Anolis sagrei: one gene and its partners. The protein of the gene in region 3 interacts with the protein of the main gene of each other region in a pairwise test. Links are inferred from orthologs where the notes say so. Each region holds a gene or a part of one and is shown on either strand. Other genes may lie near its edges. The genes, in order: RNF183, DPYD, GOPC and VTN.

The links.
Region 1: the proteins of GOPC (region 3) and RNF183 interact in binary tests that used the Homo sapiens proteins (3 or more experiments, as listed by UniProt). The two-hybrid records come from large-scale screens. The link is inferred for Anolis sagrei from reciprocal best matches to the Homo sapiens genes GOPC and RNF183.
Region 2: the proteins of GOPC (region 3) and DPYD interact in a two-hybrid assay, tested with the Homo sapiens proteins (2 studies listed by BioGRID and IntAct). The link is inferred for Anolis sagrei from reciprocal best matches to the Homo sapiens genes GOPC and DPYD.
Region 4: the proteins of GOPC (region 3) and VTN interact in binary tests that used the Homo sapiens proteins (3 or more experiments, as listed by UniProt). The two-hybrid records come from large-scale screens. The link is inferred for Anolis sagrei from reciprocal best matches to the Homo sapiens genes GOPC and VTN.

What each region holds. Positions count from the first base shown.
Region 1 is NC_090031.1:5,857,845-5,863,342, reverse strand, and holds RNF183 (E3 ubiquitin-protein ligase RNF183), read right to left. Parts: upstream 1,222-5,498; 5' UTR 1,214-1,221; coding exon 659-1,213; 3' UTR 502-658; downstream 1-501. UniProt on the Homo sapiens protein: Acts as an E3 ubiquitin ligase catalyzing the covalent attachment of ubiquitin moieties onto substrate proteins. Triggers apoptosis in response to prolonged ER stress by mediating the polyubiquitination and subsequent proteasomal degradation of BCL2L1.
Region 2 is NC_090024.1:148,570,408-148,577,435, reverse strand, and holds the start of DPYD (dihydropyrimidine dehydrogenase [NADP(+)]), read left to right. Parts: upstream 1-4,003; 5' UTR 4,004-4,079; coding exon 4,080-4,118; intron 4,119-7,028.
Region 3 is NC_090021.1:89,459,662-89,467,263, reverse strand, and holds the start of GOPC (Golgi-associated PDZ and coiled-coil motif-containing protein), read right to left. Parts: upstream 2,880-7,602; coding exon 2,574-2,879; intron 1-2,573. Other genes in the region: nephrocan-like, read left to right, coding at 2,878-3,092.
Region 4 is NC_090031.1:32,100,345-32,107,365, forward strand, and holds the start of VTN (vitronectin), read left to right. Parts: upstream 1-3,997; 5' UTR 3,998-4,080; intron 4,081-7,021. Other genes in the region: NAD(+) hydrolase SARM1, read right to left, coding at 524-1,142, 3,204-3,631. UniProt on the Homo sapiens protein: Vitronectin is a cell adhesion and spreading factor found in serum and tissues. Vitronectin interact with glycosaminoglycans and proteoglycans. Is recognized by certain members of the integrin family and serves as a cell-to-substrate adhesion molecule.

The DNA of each region.
Region 1 (5,498 bases), on a different chromosome or scaffold from region 3:
GGTTACCAGTATTTAAAAATTAAAATCAGGATAGTAAATGAACAGCACATGGAGGAATCCTTTGTTGGGAGATGTTAGCTGGCCCTGATTGTTTCCCTTGTGGGATTTTCTGAGTGTTGCTGTTTATTTACACTTCTGATCTTACAGTTTTTTAAAAATAAATAAATACCGGTAGCCAGATTTTGTTCATTTTCATGGTTTCCTCCTTTTAGAGGAATTCCAGACATGAAACAATCAGAGCCAGCTGACACCTTCCCACAAAGGATTCCCCAAGGCAGAAAGCAACCAGCCTTTGAAGCTGCGAGCTTATTTAGTGCTAATCAAGGTGGCCAATTGCAACATTCACACTTGTCTCGTGCAGACAAGAGTTCTTTCTCCCACAGATATCTAAACCTCACTTGCCTAGTTTCCAACAGAACCTCAACCTCTGCTATGGATGTGGGTGAAATGTCAGGAGAGAATGCTTCTGGACAGCCCAGAAAACTCATAGCAACCCAATGATTCCGGCCGTGAAATCCTTCGTCATAGGATTTCCTATGTCATTGTCCGCACAAAGGACTCCTTGAGTGGTCAGTGTAGATGTGCTCGTAGTTTCCTCATTCCGATCGGATCCACTCTCATAGACACATCATGTAAAACGACAAGACAATTCCCATTCTCACCCTGAACCGGTGAAGAAATGGTTGTTCCAGTAGATAAAGAAAATAAAAAGTGTGACGACGATCAAGATGAGGGCCATCAAGTAGGAGAAAAGGCGAAGCTGCGGGTTGCAGGCACACGCCCGTAATGTCCGATGCTCCGGAAGGCTCGGGGTCACCGTTTGGGTTCTTTCGGCGTCCGAGGATTCGGTGCCCAGGTCCAAGGTGTAAACCCTCGGCTGGCGGAGGAAATACCGGCTCTTGCGTTGGTCCTTCAGGTACAACTGCCTGCCTTCTAAGATAATCTGGTTGGGCTCCAGCCGAAGCCAACGCAAGACGGCTCCGTCAGTGGGCAGCGCGGTGACCACTTGGTCGGGCGAGAGCTGGGTGGGGTGGCGACATAGTGGGCATTGCAGGCAGTGTGGGTCCGACGCCACCAGGCTCAGGTGGGCCAGGCACTCGATGCAGAAGGTGTGTTGGCAGCGGAGGAGCTTGGGCGTCCGGAAGGCGTTGTCGAAGGGGCTCCAGCAGATCGGGCACTCGGATGCCAACCCGGTGGCTTGTCTCTGAGCCATGCTTTGGATAGAAGGCGCTGTCTTTACACTGCCTGGAAAGAAACCAGGTTAGATTCAGAAGACAAGTAAACAAACCCACATGAGGTGCATCTACATCAGGTATGGGCACACTTTGGTCCTCTGGGTATTTTGGACTTCTCACAATTGCTAACAGCTTGTGTTATCGAAGGCTTTCGTGACCAGAATCACTGGGTTGCTGTGACTTTTCCATGCTCTATGGCTATGTTCCAGAAGCATAGATGTGCCCACATCTATAACAGGCATCATCAGAGGTTGTGAGGTCTGTTGGAAACTAGGCAAGTGGGGTTTATATATCTGTGGAATAATGTCCAGGGTGGGAGAAAGAATGGGGGAAATGTTGCAATTGGACACCTTGATGAGCATTGAATCCCCTTGCAGCTGCAAAGTCAATAAGTGAGGGCATCTGCATAGAGGTCTCTTGCAAATGAGGCAAGTTGACTCTCAGATAGATAGATAGATAGATAGATAGATAGATAGATAGATAGACCGACCTGTGGAATGATATCCACGGTGGGGGAAAGAATTCTTGCCTGTTTGAGGCAAGTGTGACTGTTGCAATTGGCCTTTGACAGCCTTGTAGCTTCAAAGCCTGTCTGGTTGCTGCCATGTGGAATCATTTGTTGGGAGTTATTAGCTGAGGGCCAGCTAATAACTCCCAACAAATGATTCCACACAGCAGCAACCAGCCAGGCTTTGAAGCTACAAGGATTGATTCTTGTCTGGGCCAGCTAACACCTCTCAACAAAGGATTCCCCCAGGCAGGAAGCAACCAGGCCTTGAAGCTGCTAGGCTATTTAATGCTAATCAAGGTGCCCCCAGGCAGGAAGCAGCCAGGCCTTGAAGCTGCTAGGCTATTTAATGCTAATCAAGGTGGCCAATTGTAACATTCTCACTGGCCTCCGATAGACAAGAGTTCTTTCTCCCACCCTGCACATTATTCCACAGGGGGATATCTATCTATCTATCTATCTATCTATCTATCTACACACACACACATACACATACACACTCCACTTGTCTTATTTATTTATTTATTTATCTATTTACAACATTTATATGCTGCCCTTCTCACCCCGAGGGGGACTCGGAGCAACTTACAAGATATATATACATACAATATATTATATTATTACAAAGTAGAATATCAGTATTATAAAATACTATATTGTACTATACCATTATATTGTAATATTATTAGTAATATTACATGTTATATATATATATATATATATATATATATATATATATATAATATTGTATTATTATTATTAGTAGTAGTATTATATTGTATTGTATTATAATATTTATACCTTATAGTATAAATATTATATTATATAAATATTTATATAATATGTGTATATATAAATATTATATAAATATTTATACCTTACCTCCAACAGACCTCTGAAGATGCTATTAGCCACAAATGCAGGGGAAACGTTCAGGTGAGAATGCTGCTGGAACATGGCCATACATTCCACAACTATATCAACCCCACTTGTTTCCAACAGACTTCACAACCTCTGAGGATGCCTGCCATAGATGTGGGTGAAATGTCAGGAGAGAATGCTTCTGGAACATCACCAGACAGCCTGGAAAACTTGTATCACCCCAGCTGATAGGCTGTTAGGAATGGTGCAAGTTGAAGTCCAAAACACCCAGAGGGCCGAAGTTTGCCCATGCCTGATCTACAGTGTTGAATGAATGCGGTTTGATGCCACTTCGACTGCCGTGTTTTGTACCTTGATGCTAAAGAGTGCCTAGGAGCTGTAGTTTTACAACAGGGCGATGGTGCCTCCTATTATTCCATAGTATTGAGCCATGACGGTCAAAGTGCTCTCAAACTGCATTCATTCTGCACGATGAGATGGTATCACCGCAGGCCTCTGGAAAAGAATAAAGGAAAGGACTTCCTCCAAGGACGTGACAAATGAGGCTGTGACACACAACTTGTGTGTACACCTCAGTTTTATGGGATCACGGGGCAAGAGTCCCACCCTTTGACATTTCACATAGATACACAAGACATAGGCTGCCAAGAGTGCGGTCAAGGTGGCAAATGGTGTTTGTTGAATCCTACGATAAAGGTGATAAAGGTGGTCCCAGTGGTGATTGGCATACTGGGTGCAGTGCCTCAAGACCTTGGCCTGCACTTAAAAACAATCACCGCTGACAAAATTACCACCTGTCAGCTGCTCGGATCTGCACGCATTATTCGCTGATACATCACACAGTCCTAGACACTTGGGAAGTGTCTGACGTGTGATCCAATACAACAGCCAGCAGAGTGTCTGCTGTGAACTCATCTTGTTGTGTTTCAAATAATAATAATAATAGTAATTTTTATTTCTTGCCCGCCTCTCTTCAAAGTTCGAGGTGTGTTTGCTTTGGCTCCTTACTAAGATTGCGTTATTACATGACTCTACTCTGCACCCTAATTTTGGAAATGTAATTTATCCCAGGTAATTGGGCTCCCTGGTGGTGCAGCGGATTAAACCGCTGAGCTGCTGAACTTGCTGACCAAAAGGTTGGTGGTTCAAATCTAAGGAGCAAGATGAGCTCCCACTGTTAACCCTAGCTTCTGCCAACTTAGCAGTTTGAAAACATGCAAATGTGAGATCAATAGGTACTGCTTCCATGGGAAGGCAATGACGTTCCATGCAGTCATGCAGGGCACATGACCTTGGAGGTGTCTATGGACAACGGCAGCTCTTTGGCTTAGAAATGGAGATGAGCACCATTCCCCAAAGTCAGGCACAACTAGACTTAATGCCAAGGGGAAACCTTTATTTTTACTAAAGGTGAGTATTAGATTCAAGTAAATATGGTATGTGGGTCTCTCCAAGTTTTGGGGGGGGAAAAGGATTATATGGCTAAACGCCGTCACACTTTTCCAGCTTTACAACCCACCCTGAAAGAGACAGAGTGTCAGAGCTTCATCCTACCTGCATCAGGTGTGGAGGAGACGACTCGGAGTGTGTGCAATACAGCCGAACGTGAGAGCGTTTGCTCTCCCAGGGTCGTTCTCAGGAGACTTTGTCCCTCGCTCGAGGCGCAGAGTTCTCTCTCCTTTGCGAGCTGGGTATTTACTGCCGCCCAAGGAAGCAAAGGCAACCAGGTGAAGCCAATCCTTCCCAGCTTTTATGATTATAATCATTGCTAGGAAAGTCACTGGTCTGTTATCTGATTTCGAAAGCTAACCAGGGTCAGGCCGGCCCAATACTTGGACGCACTTCTGTAGCTTCTTGGCAGAAAGCAACGTGGTAAGAGGTCAAGTAAAGCTTTCCCCTTGACATACGTTTAGTCGTGTCTGACTCTGGGACTCTGGTGCTCATCTCCATTTCTAAGCTGAAGAGCCGGCGTTGTCCAGAGACACCTCCAAGGTTATGTGGCCTGCATGACTGCATAGAGCACCGTTACCTTTGTGCCGTCGCACCTGGGGGCTATAGATCTTAGTGAAAGAAACATGGACGTTGCATCTTTTCCCCAGGGGATTGCTTCTTCTTCTTCTTTTTTTTTAATAAACAAACAGTTTATTGTTTAAAAAATACATAGAAGGTATATAGAAAAATCAGGTATAAGAAAGTAAGGTATGCAATCCAAAAGGGTCAGCACTAGGTTGTGATAGCCATGTATAAATATGTGAGAGGAAGCCACAGGGAGGAGGGAGCAAGCTTGTTTTCTGCTTCCTTGCAGACTAGGACGCAGAACAATGGCTTCAAACTACAAGAGAGGAGATGCCATCTGAACATGAGGAAGAACTTCCTGACTGTGAGAGCCGTTCAGCAGTGGAACTCTCTGCCCCGGAGTGTGGTGGAGGCTCCTTCTTTGGAAGCTTTTAAACAGAGGCTGGATGGCCATCTGTCAGGGGTGATTTGAATGCAATATTCCTGCTTCTTGGCAGAATGGGGTTAGACTGGATGGCCCATGAGGTCTCTTCCAGCTCTTTGATTCTATGATTCTAGGTGATAACCAAACAATACAATTCTCTCTTATAAAACCAAGGGTAAAAAAATAGTTTCAAAAATGCAAAGGCAGCTTAAGTCCACAAGCAGAAGATATGTTTAGCAAAACCTAAACTGGAATACAAAACAAACTGGAATACAAAACATCCTTGAGAGTTCCAGTTCTCTAAAGGAGGGCAAGAAGCAATCCCCTGGGAAAACTCCCAGGATACTTAAATCTAAGACCAAGGCTTGAAACATGAACCATACCATTCAGGCCTAGCTTCTAACTTGAATGCTATGTTGCCTGAACTGAAGTC
Region 2 (7,028 bases), on a different chromosome or scaffold from region 3:
AGCAATTAGAACAAATGCCATCAAAGTCATAACTGAAAAGTCCACAACAGATTCCAAGTGTAGACTCTGCAAGGAAGCAGATGAAACGATGGATCACATACTCAGTTGCTGCAAGAAGATCACACAGATGGACTATAAGCAGAGGCATAATGCTGTTGCTCAGATGATCCAAGGGAACTTGTACCACAAATACCATCTGCCTGCAACAAAGAACTGGGAAGATCGCAAGCCTGAAAAAGTTACAGAAAATGAACACATAAAACTACTCTGGGACTTCCAAATTTAGACTGACAAAGTTTTGGAGCACAATACTCTTGATCCTATGAGCATGGAAAAAAAACAAAGTATGGATCATCGATGTTGCAATCCCAGGTGGCGGCAGAATTAACAAGAAGCTGCTGGAAAAGCTTATACAATATGAGGATTTAAAGATTGAACTACTAAGAATGGCACAAGCCAGGAAAAATGATCCCAGTGGTCCCAAGCTGACATTTATCCACCTTTCTTCCCAAGAGATTTGTACGGTTTTTCAGAGGCAACGCTGATGGAATCGTTCCAGGAGTTGAGTATGACGTCCACATTTCACAGGTGTATAGCACGGTTGGGAGGACAATAGCTTTATAAACAAGCACCTTGGTTTCCCTACGGATGTCCATAGGGAGATACATCAGAGTCCTAGACACTTGGAAAGTGTCCAATGTGTGATCAAATACAAAAACCAGCATAATGATCTTGTTTGCCGTGTACTAATCTTGTTGTTATTATTATTTTAGTCCCCTCTATGGATCTAAGTCCCTTTGTTTTCAGGAAGATAAACTATATTATCTGTCAAATGGTTTGCTTGTAACATTGCCATTTTGAGCATATAGGTTGAGCATCCCTAATCCAGAATCCCAATATCCAAAATACTCCTCAATCCAAAATTGTCCACAAGTGGTTGAAATGGCGACATCATGGTAGTCCCTTGCCTGCATCCTATTGTGTAGTCCCAAATACAGCAGGCCCATTGAATCAATTGTTGGATTATAAGTCAACATATCTTTAAATCCCATTGATCCAATGGGGCATTTTTAGTTGCTACTAAGATTAGGTTTGAGCTAGAATGGAAAACAGAGTGATGAGTTAGTGGTGCATGAATGGAAGAGCAACTTAGGATCCACACTGGTGAATGTGTGAGGCAGACATTAGACATGCAATGTAATGAACAGTCTTAAAATTGATTTAGAGTGGCCTAGTCTTAATAATGATCATAGGTTTTTGATTGTTTATTTTATTTGATTAAGCATATTTATGATTTTGTGAATTAATTAATTAATTAAACAAATAAGTCATCAGAATTATCATGAGTAAGGTGACAAGGCTGGGAAAGACAAAAGCAGTAGAGAGAGAAAAAGGTAAACGACATGGCAATGGTTTGGCTCAAACAATAAAGCCATTGCCCTTGAGTTTGCCTGGCTCTTGATAACATGGCCTTTCAGAGGTCTCTCATTTATAGGGTCACTATAAGTCAAAGCTGACTTGGAGGCACATAACACCAGCCACGTCTTAATAAACCTTACTTGGCATTAAAACTCACCGTATGACCCTCTCTCATTTTAAACCACATTACTCATTGGCTGTGAAGGCTACTTGGAGAAAAACCCTATGTGTCATTTCCCGAGTTCCTTGGAAGAAGGATGGGACTTAATTAAGACAACACTGTATAACACGATTTTTGTTCCTGGGTTATAAACATCATTTCCTAATTGGTTTTATCATTAAAAACATGGAAAAAGTTTATTAAACTGCAAAAACTTTGTTTTTGCGGGACATCCTGCAGCACATTTTGCTATAGTTTTTCAGTGAATATCTCATATGTATAGTATATGTCTATATAATTGTAATTTTTTCTCAAATAAAGATAAAAAACAAATTTAAAAAATGACTGATAAAATGCAGGTCTATGTGTGAATCATATATATCTATATCTATGGCTGGATGGCTCTTTATCAGGGGGGCTTTGATTATGTTTTGGACTGGATGACTTTAAGGCAGTATTTCTCAACCTGGGGGTCGGGACTCTGGAAGGGTTGCGAGGAGGTGTCAGAAAGGTTGCCAAAGACCACCAGGAAACATAGTATTTTCTGTTGGTCATAGGCGTTTTGTGTGGGATGTTTGGCCCAATTCTGTTGTTGGTGGGGTTTAGAATGCTCTTTGATTGTAGGTGAACTGTAAATCCCAGTAACTACACCTCCCAAATGTCAAGGTCTATTTTCCCCAAACTCCATCTGTGTTCGTATTTGGGCATATTGAGTATCTGTACCAAATCTGGTCTAGATCCTTCATTGTTTGAGTGCACAGTGCTCTCTGGATGTAGGTGAACTACAGCTCCAAAACTCAAGAACAATGCCCACCAAACCCTTCTAGTGTTTTCTACCGGTCATGGCAGTCCTGTGTGCCAAGTTTGGTTCAATTCCATCGTTGGTGGAGTTCAGAATGCTCTTTAACTGTAAGTTTACCATAAATCCCAGCAACTACAACTCCAAAAATGACAAAATCAATTTTTTGAGTTAGTAGGTGTCTTGTGGCCAAATTTGGTGGCAATTTGTCCAGCGGTTTTTGAGTTATGATGTCACTCAAAATGAACAGAGCATTTATATATAGATAGATAGATTTTAAAATAATTATGTGCATGTAACAAAGAATGTGTACATTGCACCATAGAAAGCCAAGGTGCCACTATTTCAGCCACCCATGTGGCTATTTTCTGATTTCGGGGTATTTTGATAGGCCTGGCAAGGGATGCTCAACCTGTAATTACATTGATGGCTTGTTATTTAGCTTCTTCCTTCTTACTGTGTTTTTACTCCCTCATTGGGCCCTTCCACACAGCCATATAAACCAGAATATCAAGGCAGAAAATCCCACAACATCTGCTTTGAACTGGGTTATCTGAGGCCTCTTTCACACAACTGAATAAAATCCCACATTTTCAGTGTGGACTCAGATAACCTAGTTCAAAGCAGATATTGTGGGATTTTCTGCCTTGATATTTTGGGTTGACTATCTGGAAGGGCCCTGGGTCCACACTGCCATATATTCCAATTCAAACTAGATAATGTGGGATTTTATTCAGCTGTGTGGAAGGGGCCATAGGGTGCCTCTACCTACATAGTGGAATTAATGCAGTTTGACACTACTCGAACTTCCGTGTCTTAAGGCTACGGAATCCTGGGAGTTGTGGTTTTACAAGGCCTTTTCTTTCAAAGAGTGCTGATGCCCAGGTAAACTACAACTCCCAGTCTTGAGTCATGGCAGTGTAAAGCACTGTGAAACCTTACACATTGAGAAATTTCCCTATTGGTAAGCAGTCTCTTGTATCCTATGGAGTTTGATGCAGAGCAATAGAATCCCATGGAAAGAAATTGTTTTAAACTGGATCACTGTCTCTTGTATCTTATAGGCTTTGATGCAGAACAATAGGATCCCATGGAAAGCTATGGTTTTAACCTAGTGCACTGTCTCTTGTGGGTTTTTATCCCATGGAAAGAAGTGCTGACAATATAAGAGGGGCGATTCTCTACTCTTAAAGGGACAGTCACCCATGCATTCCCCTCTCAATGTGATGAGACTACAACTCCCAAGATTCAGCTTTGTGGATGCAGTATTGTTACTTGGATATTTTGCCGGTTGCTTGAGAGTCCCTGTTGCTTGAACTCCGGTTAACTGAGAGTCTACTTGATTTTTGTGCCCTCCCATCCACCTGTCTGTTGAATGCAAAGGTGGGTTATAAATTGAGAAAGGATCACAACGACGTGTTTGGGGGGAGGCATTCCTGCAATGCGCTCGAAGTCAGCGAAAGGCACTCTGCACATGCTCAGAGGCATGGCGGGTTTTCCCCTTCGAAAGGTGCGTCGCCAGCCCTGGAAGTAACACCCCCGCCTCACCGGAGCTGAGAGCCTTCCTCCAGATCTGATGCCAAGGTCCATCCAAGCCCTCCTCCTCCCCTTCCCTCCATAGCCTCCGCCCACTATGGGGGCGTTGCTGTTCCGCTCTCGTCCCCTTCCGTCCGCACAAGCCGAAGAGGTAGCTGATCCGCCATGGATAGTCTCCTTAGCCGGGATCCCGTGGATATTGAGGTACCCATTCGCCCAAGCGGGTTCCAGGGGGGCAGACACGCCTGGAGGTGGAGGCTGGCCAGCCAGCCAGAAGCAACTCTGGCCCAAGCTTTTGGGAAGCTTGTTTCTTCCTGGTTGCAACTCTGCTTTGGAGCAGTTGTGGGGGATCCAAAAGGGTGCCTCTGAGGGCGTGCAAAGTGCCTCCCTCTCCAGTCTCCTAGGCTTCCTTGTGTGTCCCCAAGTGTGTGGCTCAATGCCAACCCAAGTGCTTCTGAGGCCCCTTCAACACTACCATATAAAATCCAGATTTTATATGGAATATATGGCACTGTGGACTCAGATAACCCAATTTAAATGGGATATACGGCTGTTTGGATGGGCCCTCAGGTACCTTCTATGATGACATATAATCCAGATTATCAAACCAGGTAATCCAGATTATCTGCTTTGAACTGGATTATATGAGTCTACACTCAGATAATGTGGGATTCCCTGCCTTGATATTCTGGGATATAGGGCTGTGTGGAAGGACCCATTAGTCCACACTACCATATAATCCAGCTCAATGTGGATTTATACACCTGTGTGGAAGAGGCCATATAACCCAGAATATCAAGGCAGAAAATCCCACAATATCTGCTTTGAACTGCATTAATCTGAGTCCACAGATAATGTGGGATTTTCTGCCTTGATATTCTGGGATATAGGGCGGTGTGGAAGGGCCCTGAGGCTGCATCTACACTGCCTTATATCCCAGAATCTGATCCTGGATTATCTGCTTTGAACTGGATTATATGAGGATGGAACTACACTGGCATATAATCCTGATTATAAAGCAGATAATGCATATTATCTGTTTTGAACTGGATTATCTCAGACTACACTGGTGTATAATCCAGTTCAAATCAGATAATCTGGATTATCTGATTTGATAATCTGGATTATATGTCATCATAGAAGGCACCTGAGGGCCCTTCCAAACAACCGTATATCCCAAAATATCAAGGCAGAAAATCCCACAATATCTGCTTTGAATTGCATTATCTGAGTCCACACTCAGATAATGTGGGATTTTCTGCCTTGATATTCTGGGATATAGAGCTATGTGGAAGGGCCCTGAGGCTGCATCTACACTGCCCTATATCCCAGAATATGATCCTGGATTATCTGCTTTGAGCTGGATTATATGAGGATGGAAATACACTGGCATATAATCCATATTATCAAAGCAGATAATCCACATTATCTGCTTTGAACTGGATTATCAGAGACTACACTGCTGTATAATCCAGTTCAAAGCAGATAATCTGGATTTATCGTGCAGTATAGAAGGGGCCTGAAGCCCCTTGCACACAGCTATATAACCCAGAATATAAAGGCAAAGAATCCCACAATATCTGCTTTGAACTGGGTTATCTGAGTCCACATTCATATAATGTGGTATTTCCTGCCTTGATTTCTGGGATATAGTACTGTGTAGAAGGGCCCATTAGTCCACACTACCATATAATCCGTGGATTTTACACCTGTGTGAAAGGGGTCATATAATCCAGAATATCAAGGCAAAAAATACCTCAATATCTGCTTTGAACTGGGTTATCTGAGTCCACACTGCCATATATTCAAGTTCAAAGCTCACGATGTGGACTTTTTTCAGTTGTATGGAAGGAGGCTGTGTCTATATTGCTAAATAATCTGGGATAAAAAATGATCTGGCATATAGGGCAGTGTAGACCTGGTCCGAATGCAGTTTGATACTACTATTTGCCTTGGCCGAATGCCATGAAGTCCTGGAAGTTACAGACCCCTTCTACACAGCTGTAGAAAATCCAGATTATCTGATCTCTTCTTAGGCTGGATCTACACTGACATATAATCCGGATTATCTACTTTGAACTGGAATATGATTCTCAGTCTACAGTGCCCTTGACTGTTGTCATTCTGCAGCTCTGGGCCCTTCCACGCAACCATATAACCTGGAATATCAAGGCAGATAATCCACAATACCTGCTTTGAACTGGATTATCTGAGTCCAGACTACCATATAACCCACTTCAAAGCAGATAATGTAGATTTTATACAGCTGCCGTGGAAGGGACCTCTGAATAAGGCCTTTACTTCCAAAAATTGGTTCAGTTGAGGGCTGAGCACGAGGTATTCCTTTGAGATGATTGTGATATGGAAAGTTCTTTATGGGGTTTTTCCAAGATCCCTTCCACACAGCTGAATAAAATCCCATATTATCTGTTTTGAATGGGAAGCAGATAATGTGGGATTTTATTCAGCTGTGGACTCAGATAACCCAGTTCAAAGCAGTTATTGTGGGATTTTCTGCCTTGATATTCTGAGTGATATGGCTGTGTGGAAGGGCCCTTAGTTAATACTGCTAGATGTTTTGAGGAAGCTTCCACACAGCCCTATATTCCAGAATATCAAGGTAGAAAATCCCACAATATTTGGTTTGAACTGGGTTATCTGAGTCCACACTCCATTAATGTGGGATTTTCAGCCTTCATATTCTGGGATATAGGATGCGTGGAAGGGCCCTCTATTGCCAAATAAAATTCAGATTACTTGCTTTGAACTGGATTATATGGCAGTGTAGACTCCACCAAGTTGGATTAATTTAATGAGCCACTTTATTTGTGGAAGCAACAGGATCCCAGAGAAACATGCCCAGCTCTTTAAGCTGCTCCTCATAGGGCTTGTTCTCCAGACCCTTGATCATTTTAGTTGCCCTCCTCTGGACACATTCCAGCTTATCCTGTTCCACCTTTAAGGAACTGCAGGGGGTTGCAGCTGGAAACAGATAAACTGGAAAGACGTTCTTCCTGCTGACTACTTTCAGAGTGAACTGAACTCTGCTATATGATACTTTGGATTGGGCCCAGTGAACTTTGCAGTTCAAAACTTGGAAGCCATTACAAAAAG
Region 3 (7,602 bases):
TCCTATTCCTCTCATCCCGGAACTGAACTCGGGCAGCTATTCTCTGCTTATTCCTTCCCCTTGAACTTCATTCACCTCTAATCATCTTTAATGTCTAAAAACATGAGACAATTTTCATAAAGAAGAAGGAAAATATAATGATATTTGTGGGCTTTGGGGATTAAGCTTTACCTGCTTTACTCAACAGGCAGAAGTTGAGACTCTATGCTAGATGGTACTTCTGCTTGGGACCAGAAGTGGTTTTTGTTTTTTGTTTTTTGGATTTTGGAATACCTGCATATGTATATGCATATGCACATACATACATGATGAGACACCTTGATAATATGACCCAAGACAAAACCCAATACCCATTTGTCCCTTATCCAAAATGCTTGGGGACAGAAGTGTCTTGGATGGATTTTTTTATATAAGGATATTTATACAAGATATTTTAAAATAATTTTGTGTATAAAACACAGGGAACAAAGGTGTCACACTTTCAGCCACCCATGTGGACAACTTTGGAGTATTTTGGAATCCTGTAAAACCTTTTAATGAGAAGATGATTATGCTTTGGGCTGGAGAGTGAGAAGTCAATTTTGAATTCTGTGCATTAAGAAAGAAGGGTTGTGAAGCATTTTTTCTTCATTTTCCCCCTTCCCCAACACCATCCTATTCCACATCACTTCCCTCCCTCATTTAAATATCTATTTTATTTACTTATGAAAATCTTAATTAAAATATTGTTTTAAAAAAGCAGACCTTTAAACTGTTAGAGGTCCAAGTTTGGGTCCAGGCTATTTGTCTAATCATATCTCCCCATACAGACCATTCCGTGCACTGTGGTCAGCAGAGGAAGCCCTCCTCTCAGTCCAACCCCTATCACAAGTGCAGTTGGTGTGAACAAGAGGGAAGGCCTTCTCCATGATCACTCCCTATCTGTGGAATTCCCTCCCAAAAGAACTAAAAGTAGCACCCACCCTCCTCTCCTCTTGAAAACGCACATGTGCACTTTGGCGTATGAAGAGGAGGAGGATTAGGACAGTCCTAACCTATTCCACTGCTGCTATGGTATATGAGAAGAACAACCTTGATAGTCATTTTAATTGCCTTTTCTAGGATTTATGTCTAAATGGTTAATTTATGTTAGCATTATAATTAGTTTTATTCGATTATTTGTATTTGGTCCTTATTTTCCTGTCAATTTCTCTTTTGTCATAAGTTTATGGTTATTATTTTGGTATTAATCTGTTGATTTTAAAATGTTTGTATTTGACTTGGGCATTGAATGTTTGCCTTTCTTGTGTGTAAACCACCCTGAGTCCTATTGGGGAGAGAGGGTGGTCTACAAATAAAGTTTTTTTTTTTAAAATATTATTAGCATGTCAGCCGCAGTGTGTAGGTGTGTCACACAAATGTAATGAGAAAGTTCTGGGTCAAGGTGAAATAAGCAATGAATCATATCTCAGAGAGAGAAAGATGTTCATGAAATATGTTGTGTCCCTATACATTTGAGCCAACAATGTGATGCGGCGGGAGAAAAAAGCCAATGGGTTTTTGGCCTGCATAAATGGGACTATAGTGCCTAGATCCAGGGAAGTCATGCTACCCCTCTATTCTGCCTTGGTCAGACCACACTTGGAATCACACTGTGTCCAAGTCTGGGCACCGCAACTGAAGGGAGATGTTGATAAGTTGGAGTGTGTCCAGAGGAGGGGAACTAAAATGATCAAGGGTCTGGAGAACAAAACCTATGAGGAGCGCCTTAAAAAGCTGGGCATGTTTAGCCTGAAGAAGAGAAGGCTGAGAGGAGGAGCATGTATAAATATGTGAGGGAAAGTCATAGGGAGGAGTGAGCAAGCTTGTTTTCTGTTGCCCTGGAGACTAGGACACGGAATAATGGCTTCAAACTACAAGAAAGGAGATTCCCCCTGAACATGAGGAAGAACTTCCTGACTGTGAAAGCTGTTCAGCAGTGGAACTCTCTGCCCCGGAGTGTGGTGGAGGCTCCTTCTTTGGAGGCTTTTAAACAGAGGCTGGGTGGCCATCTATCAGGGGTGCTTTGAATGCAATTTTCCTGCTTCTTGGCAGGGGGTTGGACTGCCAAGAGGTCTCTTCCAACTCAATGATTCTAAGATTTCACTATTAACAACCTATATATGTGTCACTATCTCTTATAACAGGCATGGGCAAACTTTGGCCCTCCAGGTGTTTTGGACTTCCACTCCCACAGCCGGTGGGCTGTTAGGAATTGTGGGAGTTGAAGCCCAAAACACTTGGAGGGCCAAAGTTTGCCCATGCCTGTTATAACCTCCAGTTTGTGAATAAAACTGAATTACTGTGTCGCAAAATTATGTTGGCAAAAAAAGTGTACCATCTCCTGAAAAGTTTGGAAGGCTCTGCTCTAAAGGGTGCTGTTGCCACTTAACATGATCTGTGGGGAGGTGCTTGGTTCGACCCTGGTGTTTGTATTTCAATGAAAGAGGGGTGTGGAGGGAGCATCAGGGGGACGGGTGGGCAGCGTGTGTCAAGCGTTTGGTTCCTCGGAGGAAGCCCCCGCGTGAGAGACTGAAAAGGGAAGGCAGCTTCACCTCGAGCTTGTGGTTGATCTGGGAGACGGTCTGGGCCTTGTGGCAGAGCTGGGCGAAGCAGGAGCTGAGGCTGGTCATCTTCTGCCGGCCCTCGTAGGTGATGTCCGCCTGGTCCGGGTCGATCTCGCCCAGCAGCAGGTCCACGTCCACGAAGGCCTTGTCGAACTCCTTCTCCAGCACCTCCAGCCACCGGAACATCGACAGGCCGCCCCCGCCGCCGCCCCCGGGGGACGAAGCCGACGAGGAGGCCGCTGCCCCACCGCAGGCCCCGGGGCCCGCCCCCCCGCAGGAGCCCCCGCCAGACATGGCGCCCCACTGGTGCTTCAAGCCTCTCCGCCAACTCACCCACCCACTCACCGACCCACGGGCCGCCTTGGCCTCCCTGCGCCTCACTCCCTCACTCGCTCGCTCGCGCACTCCCCACGGCGCATGCGCGGGAGCGGCGGCTCCTCTCCTGTCAGCCGGGAGACCCCGAGCGAGCGATTCCCTCGCCTGCCACAACGGAGACCCGCTGGCCAGGTGGGACGGGCCGAGCTCCGAATCATCGATCGGTCGGGAAGCTTCCCTTCCTGCCTCCCTCCCCTGCGGCCGCAAGGGGCGCTGCTGCGCAGTTTGAAGGGGCGGCTCCAACCAACCTTGGGTCCTCTGTCTGTTTAGAACTTCAACTCCCAGGATTCCTGGCAATTGGCAGTGGTGACAGGGGCTTCTGGGAAGCGAAGTCCCAATCAGCAGGAGGACCTGAGGTTTTCTCAACCTTCCTAATGCCGCGACCCCTTAATACAGTTCCTCGTGTTGTGGTGACCCCCAACCATAAAATTATTTTTGTTGCTATTTCGTAACTGTAATTTTGCTATTGTTATGAACCATTGAACCATAGAATCACAGAGCTGAAAGCCTCAAGGAATTCATTGGGTGTCCTAAGTTAACAGATGACTAAGTTAACATCTATCTTGGACAATTCAGAATCATAGAATCCTAGAATCAAAGAGTTGGAAGCGACCTCGTGGGCCATCCAGTCCAACCCCCTGCCAAGAAGCAGGAATATTGCATTCAAATCACCCCTGACAGATGGCCATCCAGCCTCTGTTTAAAAGCCTCCAAAGAAGGAGCCTCCACCACACTCCAGGGCAGAGAGTTCCACTGCTGAACAGCTCTCACAGTCAGGAAGTTCTTCCTCATGTTCAGGGGGACTCTCCTTGTAGTTTGAAGCCATTGTTCCGCATCCTAGTCTCCAGGGCAGCAGAAAACAAGCTTGCTCCCCCCTCCCTATGACTTCCTCTCACATTCTTATACATGGCCCTTATCATGTCTCCTCTCAGCCTTCTCTTCTTCAGGCTAAACATACACAGCTCTTTAAGCCGCTCCTCATAGGGCTTGTTCTCCAGACCCTTGATCATTTTAGTCGCCATCCTCTGGACATATTCCAGCTTGTCAATATCTCTCTTCAATTGTGGTGCCCAGAATTGGACACAGTATTCCAGATGTGGTCTAAGCAAAGCAGAGTAGAGGGGGAGAATGGCTTCCCTGGATCTAGACCAGGGGTACTCAAACTAAGGCCTGGGGGCTGGATGCGGCCCTCCAAGGTCATTTACCCGGCCCTCACTTAGGGTTAACCTAAGTCTGAAATGAAAGCACACAACAACAATCCAATCTCATGAGCCAAAAGCAGACCCACACTTCCCATTGAGATACTAATGAGTGTATATTTGTTAAAATTGTTCTTCATTTTAATTATTGTATTGTTTTAAGTGTTTTTTGCACTACAAATAAGATATGTGCAGTGTGCATAGGAATTCATTCATATATATTTTTCAAATTATAATCCGGCCCTTTAACAGTTTGAGAGACTGTGACCTGGCCCTCTGCTTAAAAAGTTTGAGGACTCCTGATATAGACACTATATACCTATTGATACAGGCCAAAATCCCGTTGTAAATATCTGATATGCAAGATGGATTTTCATTCACTGGACCAAATTTGGCACAAATACCTATTATGCCCAAATTTGGATAGTGGTGGGGTTGGGGGGGGGGGAGTAGATTTTGTTATTGGGAGTTGTAGTTACTGGAATTTATAGTTCATCTTCACTCAAAGAGCATTCACTTGGCACACATAACTCCCATGACCAAGAGAAAATACTGGAAGGGTTTTGTTGGGCATTGACCTTGAGTTTGGGAGTTGTAGTTCACCTACTTTCAGAGAGCACTGTGAACCCAAACAATGATGGATCTGGACCAAACTTGGCACAATTACTCAATATGCCGAAATGTGAACACTGGTGGAGTTTGGGGAAAATAGACCTTTGGTATTTGGGAGTTGTAGTTGCTGGGATTTATAGTTCACCTACAATCAAAGAGCATCCTGAACTTCACTAATGATGGAATTTAACCAAACTTGGCACACAGAACTCCCATGACCAAGAGAAATTATTGGAAGGTTTGATGGGCATTGACCTTGAGTTTTGGAGTTGTAGTTCACCTACACCCAGAGAGCACTGTGGACTCAAACAATGATGGATCTGGACCAAACTTGGCACAGATACATAATATGCTCTGGTGGAGTTTGGAGACCTTGACATTTGGGGGTTGTAGTTGCAGGGGTGTATAGTTCACCTTAAGAGAGTGAAGATGAAAAATGCTCTTGATTTTTCTGGTTGTCAAAATGGTGATTTGCTATTTCTGGAAGGTTCCATGTGAACAATTCACTCCATTTTGTGGCCAAAATGGGTGTCACAAGGGATCTGGAAGACCAGAGGAGTGACACACATCTTCACACATCACAGTGCTGCCTCAAAGCGTGGTGGTATTTCTTTCTCGTAAGGTATTAAACAGAGGCTGGATGGTCATCTGTCAGGGGTGCTTTGATTGTGTGTTCCTGAAAGCAGGGGGTTGGACTGGGTGGCCCTTGGGTAACAACTCTATGATTCTGTCTAAATTGTAACTAAAGTAGCTGATGTAATACATCAGCATTTCCCCAACGTACCCAGGGCTGTAATCATATGTGCCATTCTATCATTGCAAACTTTCCTAGAAACTTGCCACAGACCAGTAGCTGATATCTCATAGGTCAGCAGTGCTTCATAGACCATTATTTTCAGTAGCACTAATCTAAAGAATGGAGCCCCCGGTGGCACAGTGGGTTAAACCCCTGTGCCAGCAGGACTGAAGACCGACAAGTCGCAGGTTTGAATCCGGGGAGAGGCGAATGAGCTCCCTCTATCAGCTCCAGTTCCTGATGCGGGGACATGAGAGAAGCTTCCCACAAGGATGATAAAAACATTAAATCATCCTGGCGTCCCCTGGGCAACGTCGTTGCAGACGGCCAATTCTCTCACATCAGCAGCGACTTGCAGTTTCTCAAGTTGCTCCTGACATGACAAAAAAATATATATCTAAAGAATGGTGTGAAAACCTCCTATCGCAAATGGTCCAGAAAGCTCTGAAGACTATAATCACACCTTTTTGCTCTGCCATGTGTATTAGTCATGCTCCATTTGGTCTTCTAAGGTAAAGGTAAAAAGGTTTTCCCCTGACATTAAATCCAGTCGTGTCCAACTCTGGGGGTTGGTGCTCATCTCCATTTCTAATCCAAAGAGCCAGTGTTGTCCGTAGCTGGCTTGACTGCATGGAGCGCAGTTACCTTCCCACCGGATCGGTACCTATTGGTCTTCTACAGAAGTGGTTCTCCATATATTTTGGACTTCAGCTCCCAGAAGCCCCAGCTAGCATAACTTGTGATCGGGAATTCTGAAGAATGAAGTCCTAAACATCTGGAGGACCAAGGGTTGAGAACCACTGTTCTCCAGCATTCTCTAAGTGAAGCCTGTTTAGAATTCTCCATTTGGCCACAGACTTCTGGACAAGCTGTTGATCAGGGCCAGTTCCAAATGTGATTCGCTTGGTGTGTCAGCTACACTGGCTATCCAAAGCTTTGAAAAGTTAGACTAGGGAAACTTAAATATTCTAGAAATTTATCAAAATAAGTGTTTTCCCCCAGATATTGCTATTTACAGACACAGTTATGATGTACGTATGGTTCACCTATAACCCCCTGAACAATCTGGGCCAGGCTACATGAAAGGCAGCATTCATTCATACAAACCTGGTCAGATTTTGATTCCAGTGGGATGTGCCCATTGTCTATGAGCCATGAGAGGGGCAGTTGTTGGGGAAGAGTAGGTCATCTCACAATGGCCATTCCTTGTTGAAAGCGGCATGCTCTCTCTCTTTTCTTTGTCCTTCTGTTGGTAGAAAGAAAGCCCTTTGGCATTTCAGTTATTTATTGGCTGTAGGGACCGCTAACCAACTAAATTATCATTTATTGTTATTGCTGTGTTTTTATTGCTGAATTTGCTTTAATTTAGATGAGTATTTTATTATTTCAGCCACCTTGATTACCAGTGTTGGTGGAAAGGTGGGTTATAAGCCAAATAACAGATGATAAAATGAAGTACACTGTGATATGTTTTGAAAAGTTAACGGAACTATGCACTGTCCCCTTGAGACAGCTTAGATGTCAGCTTTGGTTTATCCAGGGCAATACTTCACTGGATTACCAACAAAGCCACCTAGTGCACCTGCTGTGAGGAAATCAGATTTCCTCATTACTGGGAACATAATATTGAATTACTGAGGAACTGGCACTTTCCTTCTCCACATGTACTAGATTATCGTCATATACACCTGATGCACCAGTGGAAATTTCCTCCTTTCTATCCATGCCACTTAAAAAAATATGTGGAGTTATTTTTTGGACTAATGCAAGTCCAATGTTGGACTATTACAAGTCCAAATGGTATTGGACTTGTGCTAATTCAACACTATTTTTGGACTAGTACAAGTTTCCATTTTTCAAAATATTTTTGTTGATTGAACATCCTTAACTCTATTAGGAAAATAAATGTTAAGTGCAATTATTTGAAAGGGGCTACAAAGTCCAGCAAAAGTAATCTCCTCCTCTTTCACCCCCATCTTCAACACCAACCTTTTTGCTTGGAATGCAACAAGGCCGAGGAGAGAATGCTTTAAAG
Region 4 (7,021 bases), on a different chromosome or scaffold from region 3:
GGGGATCTTTGGAAAGTTTTGGCGGGGGGCTTTGAGAGTTGTTGGGACCGGAGGTTTAGCATAGCTGGTAAATCATCAGCAATTGTAAGATCTATCAACGAAAAGGTTGCAAGTTTGATCCCCGGGTTGGCGTGAGCTGCTAAATGTCACCCTACCTCATTGTTTACCTAAGCAATTTGAAAACAGCTTTAGCTGTAATTAGAGAAATTAGGTACCGCTGAAAAGCAGGGGAGGTGTTTTATGATGCCATAAAGAAAGAAGATTAGAAAATGCAGGTTTGGGGGGGGGGGTTGAGAGTTGTTGGGGATCTTTGGAAGACTTTGAATGAGTTTGGTGGGCTTTGAGAGTCTTTTGAGGCTTTTAAGGGTCTTTAGGGGTCTTTGAGGGTGTTTCATGGGTTTTAAAGAACTTTGTTTGGCTTTGGAAGGTTTTGAGGGCCTTTAAAAGGTTATGTGGGTTTAAAAGGTTATGTGGGTCTTCAAGGCTCTTTGTGGGACCAGGGCCGCCCTCCCGCAATGCTCACCTTGGTGTTCCTCTGCCGGGCTTTGATGTCGGCCTCCACGCAGAGGTAGAAGGCGGCAATGCATTGGGCCTCAGGGCGGGAGCTGTCCAGCAACGGGACCAAGCCCTGCAGGTCCCCAGCGGCCCGGCCCTGACTGTGGTCAACGCTGCACAGAAGGGTCTGGGCAAAGCGTCCGGGGTCCAGGGTGGCCACGAAGGGCTCGACCAGGGCCAGGGTCCCCGAGCGCTCCACCTCCCGCTCGATCTCCTTATTGGCGGCCAGAACGGCCACAGCTAGGCAGGCCTGGAACTGGACCCAGGGGTCCTCCTTGGCGAAGGCCAGCGGGAAGAGCCACTCGGGGGCCCGCTTCTCGGCCATCAACCGCTGACTGTGCTGCCCGCCGTAGATGGCGCAGTTGGCCAGGGCAGCCGCGCAGTGGCGCAAGACAGCCGGGTCACTCCAACGGCACCAGAAGAGGATGGCGTCCAGCGCCCCGTCCGCAATCAGCCGTAGGGAGGTCTCCTCGGAGTGCTTGAACATATGCGCCAGGATGCCCGCCGTGAAGGGCGCCAAAGCCGCATTCTCCCGCTCTTTGGCCAGGTTCAGGATCACCCCCAGGCCGATGCGGGCCACCCGATCCCTGCAAAAGAAGCGAGTCAGAGAGTCACATTTCCCCCTACTCTGCGGCAAAGAAGGCCAATGCAATCCCAGTCAACATGAGTCATAGCAAAGCCAAACGCTTTTGGACTCTGGGAGCCCAAGATGTTGACATCAATTTGGCAATCACCAATGCTGCTGGCTCTTCATGCCATCCTGCCAAGGCTCCAAACGGTCCCTTTTCTTTTCACAAGCACTTTTCCCCATGCTCTTGGGAGACATAGAGCACCCAAGGGAACAATAGGAGTGCCGGGGCCTCTTGGCACAGCTTTGGCGACGATCACGAAATGCCACAAGAATGCAGGACGGATTGTTCTGGTTCCTTGAACAAGAACAAAGGCGGGGACGATGGGCTCTGTGGTTTCGCAGGAGCAGAGCTATTTCCTTGTGCCAGGAAGCCCTGCCAACGGGGTCAATCGGCGCCCTTTTGGCTCCAGCTAATGTATTTTCCCAATTATCCTCCCTAAAAGCCGCTGTCCGGACGAGGGCGAGGCAGTCGCTTCGCTCTCCAAGCGTTCCTCAACACAAACCCATTTCCAAATAGATGAGCCACAGAAGCGGATGCCAACTCTGCCCTTTTGCATTGTTCCGTCTGGTTCAGGGAAGGGCAGAGGGAGAAAGTAACTTTTAGAACAGGCATGGGCCAACTTTGGCCCTCCAGGTGTTTTGGACTTCAACTCACACAATTCCTAACAGCCGACAAAAAAAGAGACGGAAGTGTGATGCTGCAGCAGAAAAGACCAATGTGATTCTGCTGTTGAAAGTGATATCTACAAGAAGAGATAAATGCATTCATGAGCTGGAATTGTGATGCTGCAGCAGAAAAGGCCAATACGATCCTGGCAGTTAAAAGAAACACAAACAGAAAAGAGCTGGAGGTGTGATTTTGCAGCAGAAAAGACCAATGCGATCCTGGAAGTTAAAGGAAATAGAAACGGAAAACAGCCGGAAATCTGATGCTGCAGCAGAAAAGTCCAATGTGGTTGTGCTGTTGAAAGTGGTACCTAAAAGAAGAGGCAAGTGTATTCATGAGCCAGAAGTGTGATGCTGCAGCAGAAAAAAAAACCAATGCGATTGTGCCATTGAAAGTGGGGTCAAACAGGAAAGACAAATGTATTCATGGGCTGGAAGTGTGATGCCACAGCAGAAAAGGCCAATGTGATTGTGTCATTGAAAGTGGCACCTAAAAAAAGAGGCTAGTGCATTCATGAGCCAGAAGTGTGATGCTGCAGCAGAAAAAGCCAATGTGATTGTGCCGTTAAGAGTGGCATCTAGAAGAGGCAATAAATGCATTCATGAGCCAGAAGTGTGATGCTGCAGCAGAAAAGACCAATGCAATTGTGGCAGTTAAAAGTGGGATCAAACAGAAAAGACAAATGCATTCATGAGCCAGAAGTATGATGCTGCAGCAGAACAGACCAATGTGATTGTGCTGTTAAGAGTGGCACCTAGAAGAAGTGATAAATGTCAGGATAATTGCAAATATTATATGTATGTTTTTCAATGTGTTAATAATGTAATTCAAGATGGTTTCAGTCATGTTCATTCATGAGCCAGAAATGTGATGCTGCAGCAGAGGCCAATGCGATCATACCATAGAAAGTGGCACCTAAAAGAAGTGACAAGGGCATTCATGAGCCAGAAGTGTGACGCTGCAGCAGACAAGGCCAATGCGATTGTGGCAGTCAAAAGTAGGGTCAAACAGAAAAGACAAATGCATGCATGAGCCAGAAGTCTGATGCTGCAGCAGAAAAAGCCAATGCGATCATACCATAGAAAGTGGTACCTAAAAGAAGTGACAAGGGAATTCATGAGCCAGAAGTGTGATGCTGCAGCAGACAAGGCCAATGCGATTGTGGCAGTCAAACATAGATGCCATTCTTAACGGCACAATCACATTGGTCTTTTCTGCTGCAGCATCACACTTCTGGCTCACGAAAAGAGAAGACAAATGCATGCATGAGCCAGAAGTGTGATGCTGCAGCAGACAAGGCCAAGGCAATGCCGGGGATAGAAATCCAAGTCCTGTTTGTGCCTTGCTCACCTGTTTTCGGCCACCAGGATCTGCTCGAGGAGCCTCCCGGCCTGGCACTGGGTCTGCAGGTTGGGGGACTGGAGGAGGGTGAGGAGCAGGTCCAGGCCTCCCTCCAGCCGGACGGCGTGGCAGAGCCCTCTGGCCACTTCCCGGCCCAGGGCGGGCATCAGCCAAGCCTCCTCCACCAGGGCCAGGATCTCAGCCAAGGCCAATTGCAGGTCCTCTGGCCCGGCGGCCCGCTTGGCTGTGGAGACGGCCTGGTGCAGCTCGGGCAGTGCCCGGTCCAGGGCGGCTTGGATGTCGGCGGCCAAGCCCGGAGAGGAGGCCTCCGGACAGGGCCCGAGACCCTCTGCCCACCAGCCTTCGGGGCGGTTTTCAGGGCCAGACATGGCGAGGCGGCAGAGCTTGTAGGCCGAGAGCAGGAGAGTCAGCCCCATGGACTCAGAAGGATGGAGAGCCGCCGGGGATGCTGCGGGAGGACAAAGCGGGTACCACGGCCTGCCTCTCCTGCATCCCTGCCCGGGTGGTGATGTCACTCAACGATGGGACACGCCCCCTTGGAGGCGGGCTTGTCTCCATGGCAACTGCATCCTCCTCCTAGACAAAGAGTCCTGGGATGATTTGGGGAAGGGTTTTTTGTCTATTTTGCAATTTTGGGGGAGACCTAAATTGCAAAATATATCAGAAATTCACTACTGGCTGACAATTTTCTGTATTCTGTTCCTTTCGCTGCAATTTGAACCCAGGTCCCGCTATAGAGTCGCCCCGGCGGGACCCAGAGATCTCCAGAGCGGATCCGTTAATCCGATCAGAAGGAATCGAGACACAGAGTGATCCCAAGCTTCCAGCGGCCGGAAGGACGGCGCCTTGGACCCCCTTCGGACAGGTCAGTTTGGATCCCCTTTAGGTACCCCGCAAATGTCGACCGCCTCACTTTGTGCTTTGACCTCTTGCCAAATAACACATGGATGATGGGAGTTGGAGTAGTAGGGTGGATTATGGGAGTTGGGGTAGTAGGGTGTATGATGGGAGTTGGAGTAGTGGGGTGTATGATGGGAGTTGGAGTAGTAGGGTGTATGATGGGAGTTGGAGTAGTAGGGTGTATGATGGGAGTTGGAGTAGTAGGGTGGATGATGAGAGTTGGAGTGGTAGGGTGTATGATGGGAGTTGGAGTGGTAGGGTGTATAATGGGAGTTGGAGTGGTAGGGAGTATGATGGGAGTTGGAGTAGTAGGGTGGATGATGTGAGTTGGAGTAGTAGGGTGGATGTTGGGAGTTGGAGTAGTAGGGTGGATTATGGGAGTTGGAGTGGTAGGGCTTCCACGAGGGATTGGGCTCATTGAGTACTCCTGCCATATTTCTACTATTTTGTTGTTTATTTATTTATTACGGCCGAAATAAAACAAAAATACGAAAAAGAGCTGCGTTTCGAATCCAAGTCAACAGATGAAGCGGAGATTTTCCCAGACTGAGCCTTTAATTGGATTAGAGGCCAGGCCTTGGGCTAATTGGGGAATCAGGACTAAATCCCCGCCTTCGTGTTCCCTTTGCCGACGCTCGCTTGGAAAAGTAGTAATTCGTGCCGAATAAAAACAGTTTGATGGTTGTAGATGATGGGATTTGTAGTCCAAGGACATAGTGGATGACTGGGTTTGTAGTCCCAAAGCATAGTGGATGGTGGGGTTTGTAGTCCAAAAGACACAGTGGATGGTGGGAGTTGTAGTCCAAAGACACAGTGGGTGGTGGGATTTGTAGTTCAAAAGACACAGTGGATTGTAGGAGCTCTATTCCAAAGACATGTTGGGATTTGTAGTTCATAGACACAGTGGGTTGTGGGATTTGTAGTCCAAAGACATTTGGATTTGTAGTACAAAGTAGATTGTGGGATTTGTAGTCCAAAAGACACAGCGGATTGTGGGAGTTGTAGTCCAAAGACAAAGTAGATTGTTGGATGTGTAGTCCAAAAGACACAGTGGATTGTGAGAGTTGTATTCCAAAGACAATTTGAGATTTGTAGTACAAAGACACTGGATTGTGGGATTTGCAGTCCAAAGAAACAGTGGGTCTTGGGATTTGTAGTACAAAGACACAGTGGATTGTGGGATTTTTAGTCCAAAAACATTTTGGGATTTGTAGTACAAAGATACAGTGGATTTTGGGTTTTGTAGTTGAAAGACATTTTGGGTTTTGTAGTCCAAAAACAAAGTGGATGATGGGGTCTGTCATCCAAAAACATGGTGGGGTTTGTAGAATAAAGACACAGTGGATGGTGGGATTTGTAGTTCAAAGACAGAGTGGGTGGTGGTGTTAGTAATCTAAAGACCCAATGGATGGTGGGATTTGAAGTCCAAAGACACATGGGTGGTGGGATTTGTAGTCCAAAGAAACTGTGGATGGTGGGATTGGTAGTCCAAACAAATTTTGGTTTATGGGAGATCCCTTGGGTGGATTGCAAATGAATTGTGAGCCAGGTTTGTGATGCAGCAGCGGAACAGTCGAAGGCGATCCCAGGTCCCAAACTAGAAGGAAAGAGGGGAAAGCAAGATGTTTGAAAGGAAAATTGGGATTCCTCTTGAGCGTGGGCTGCCAAATCCTGCCCAATCTGCCTTTTTGACCCTTTCCTCCCAGAAATGGGAGGCCATATTAATGAATAACTCGATCCCATTGATCCGGGGGCAAATTCCATCCAGCATTTGCCCCAAAATTGCCGTTTCCCCCTCAGCCCTAAGGTGAAGGGGGGCTTCTGGGAATGCAGCCCCCCCCCCTCTGTTTGCTTTCCTTCCTCCCCAAAGAAAGCTGGCCTGAAACAAACTCATCCCGGGTTCAAATCCTGGCCTTTCCTTTTAGGAAAGAAGCAGGTCAGTCAGTTCCAATAGGTTGAACATTCAGAGGAAAGGCTGGGAGGAGAAGAGAGTCAAGAGACGGCTCATTCCTACATACAAGAGCTCTCTTTCTTTCCTTCTGTCCTTCTTTCCTTCATTCCTTACTTCTCTGCCTTTCTTTTTCCTTTCTTTCTTTCCTTTCATCCTTCTTTCCCCTTTTGATTTTCCTGATTCCTTCCTTCCTTTCCTTCCACCCTTCCTTCATTTTTTCGTTTTCATTTTTCCTTCTTTCCTTCCTTCCTTTCTTTCGTTCCATTCTTCCTCCTCCTTTTTCATTTTCATTCTTCTTTCCTTCTTCTTCTTTCCTTCCACCCTTCCTCCCTATTTTGCTTTCATTTTTCCTTCCTTCCTTCCTTCCTTCCTTCCTTCCTTCCTTTCCTTCCATTCTTCCTCCTCCTCCTTTTCCTTTTCCTTCCTTTCCTTCCAGTCTTCCTCCTCCTTTTTCTTTTCCTTCCTTCCTCTTCTTTCCTTCCTTTCCTTCCATCCTTCCTCCCTTTTTTGTTTTCATTTTTCCTCCTTTCCTTTCCTTTCCTTTCCTTTCCTTCCCTTCCTTCCTTCCTTCCTTCCTTCCTTCCTTCCTTCCTTCCTTCCTTCCTTCCATTTTTTCCTCCTCCTCCTTCATTTTCATTCTTCCTTTCCCTGCCTTCCTTCCCTTCCCTTCCCTTCCTTCCTTCGTCTCTTTTTTGTTTTCATTTTTCCTTCCTTCCTTCCTTCCTTCCTTCCTTCCTTCCATTTTTCCTCCTCCTTCTTCATTTTCATTCATTCTTTCCTTTCCTTTCCTTCCATCCTTCCTCTCTTTTTTGTTTTCATTCTTCCTTCCTTCCTTCCTTCCTTCCATTTTTCCTCCTCCTTTTTCATTTCCATTCTTCCTTCCTCCTCCCTCCTTCCTTCCTTCCTTCCTTCCTTCCTTCCTCCCTCCCTCCCTCCCTCCCTCCCTCCCTTCCTT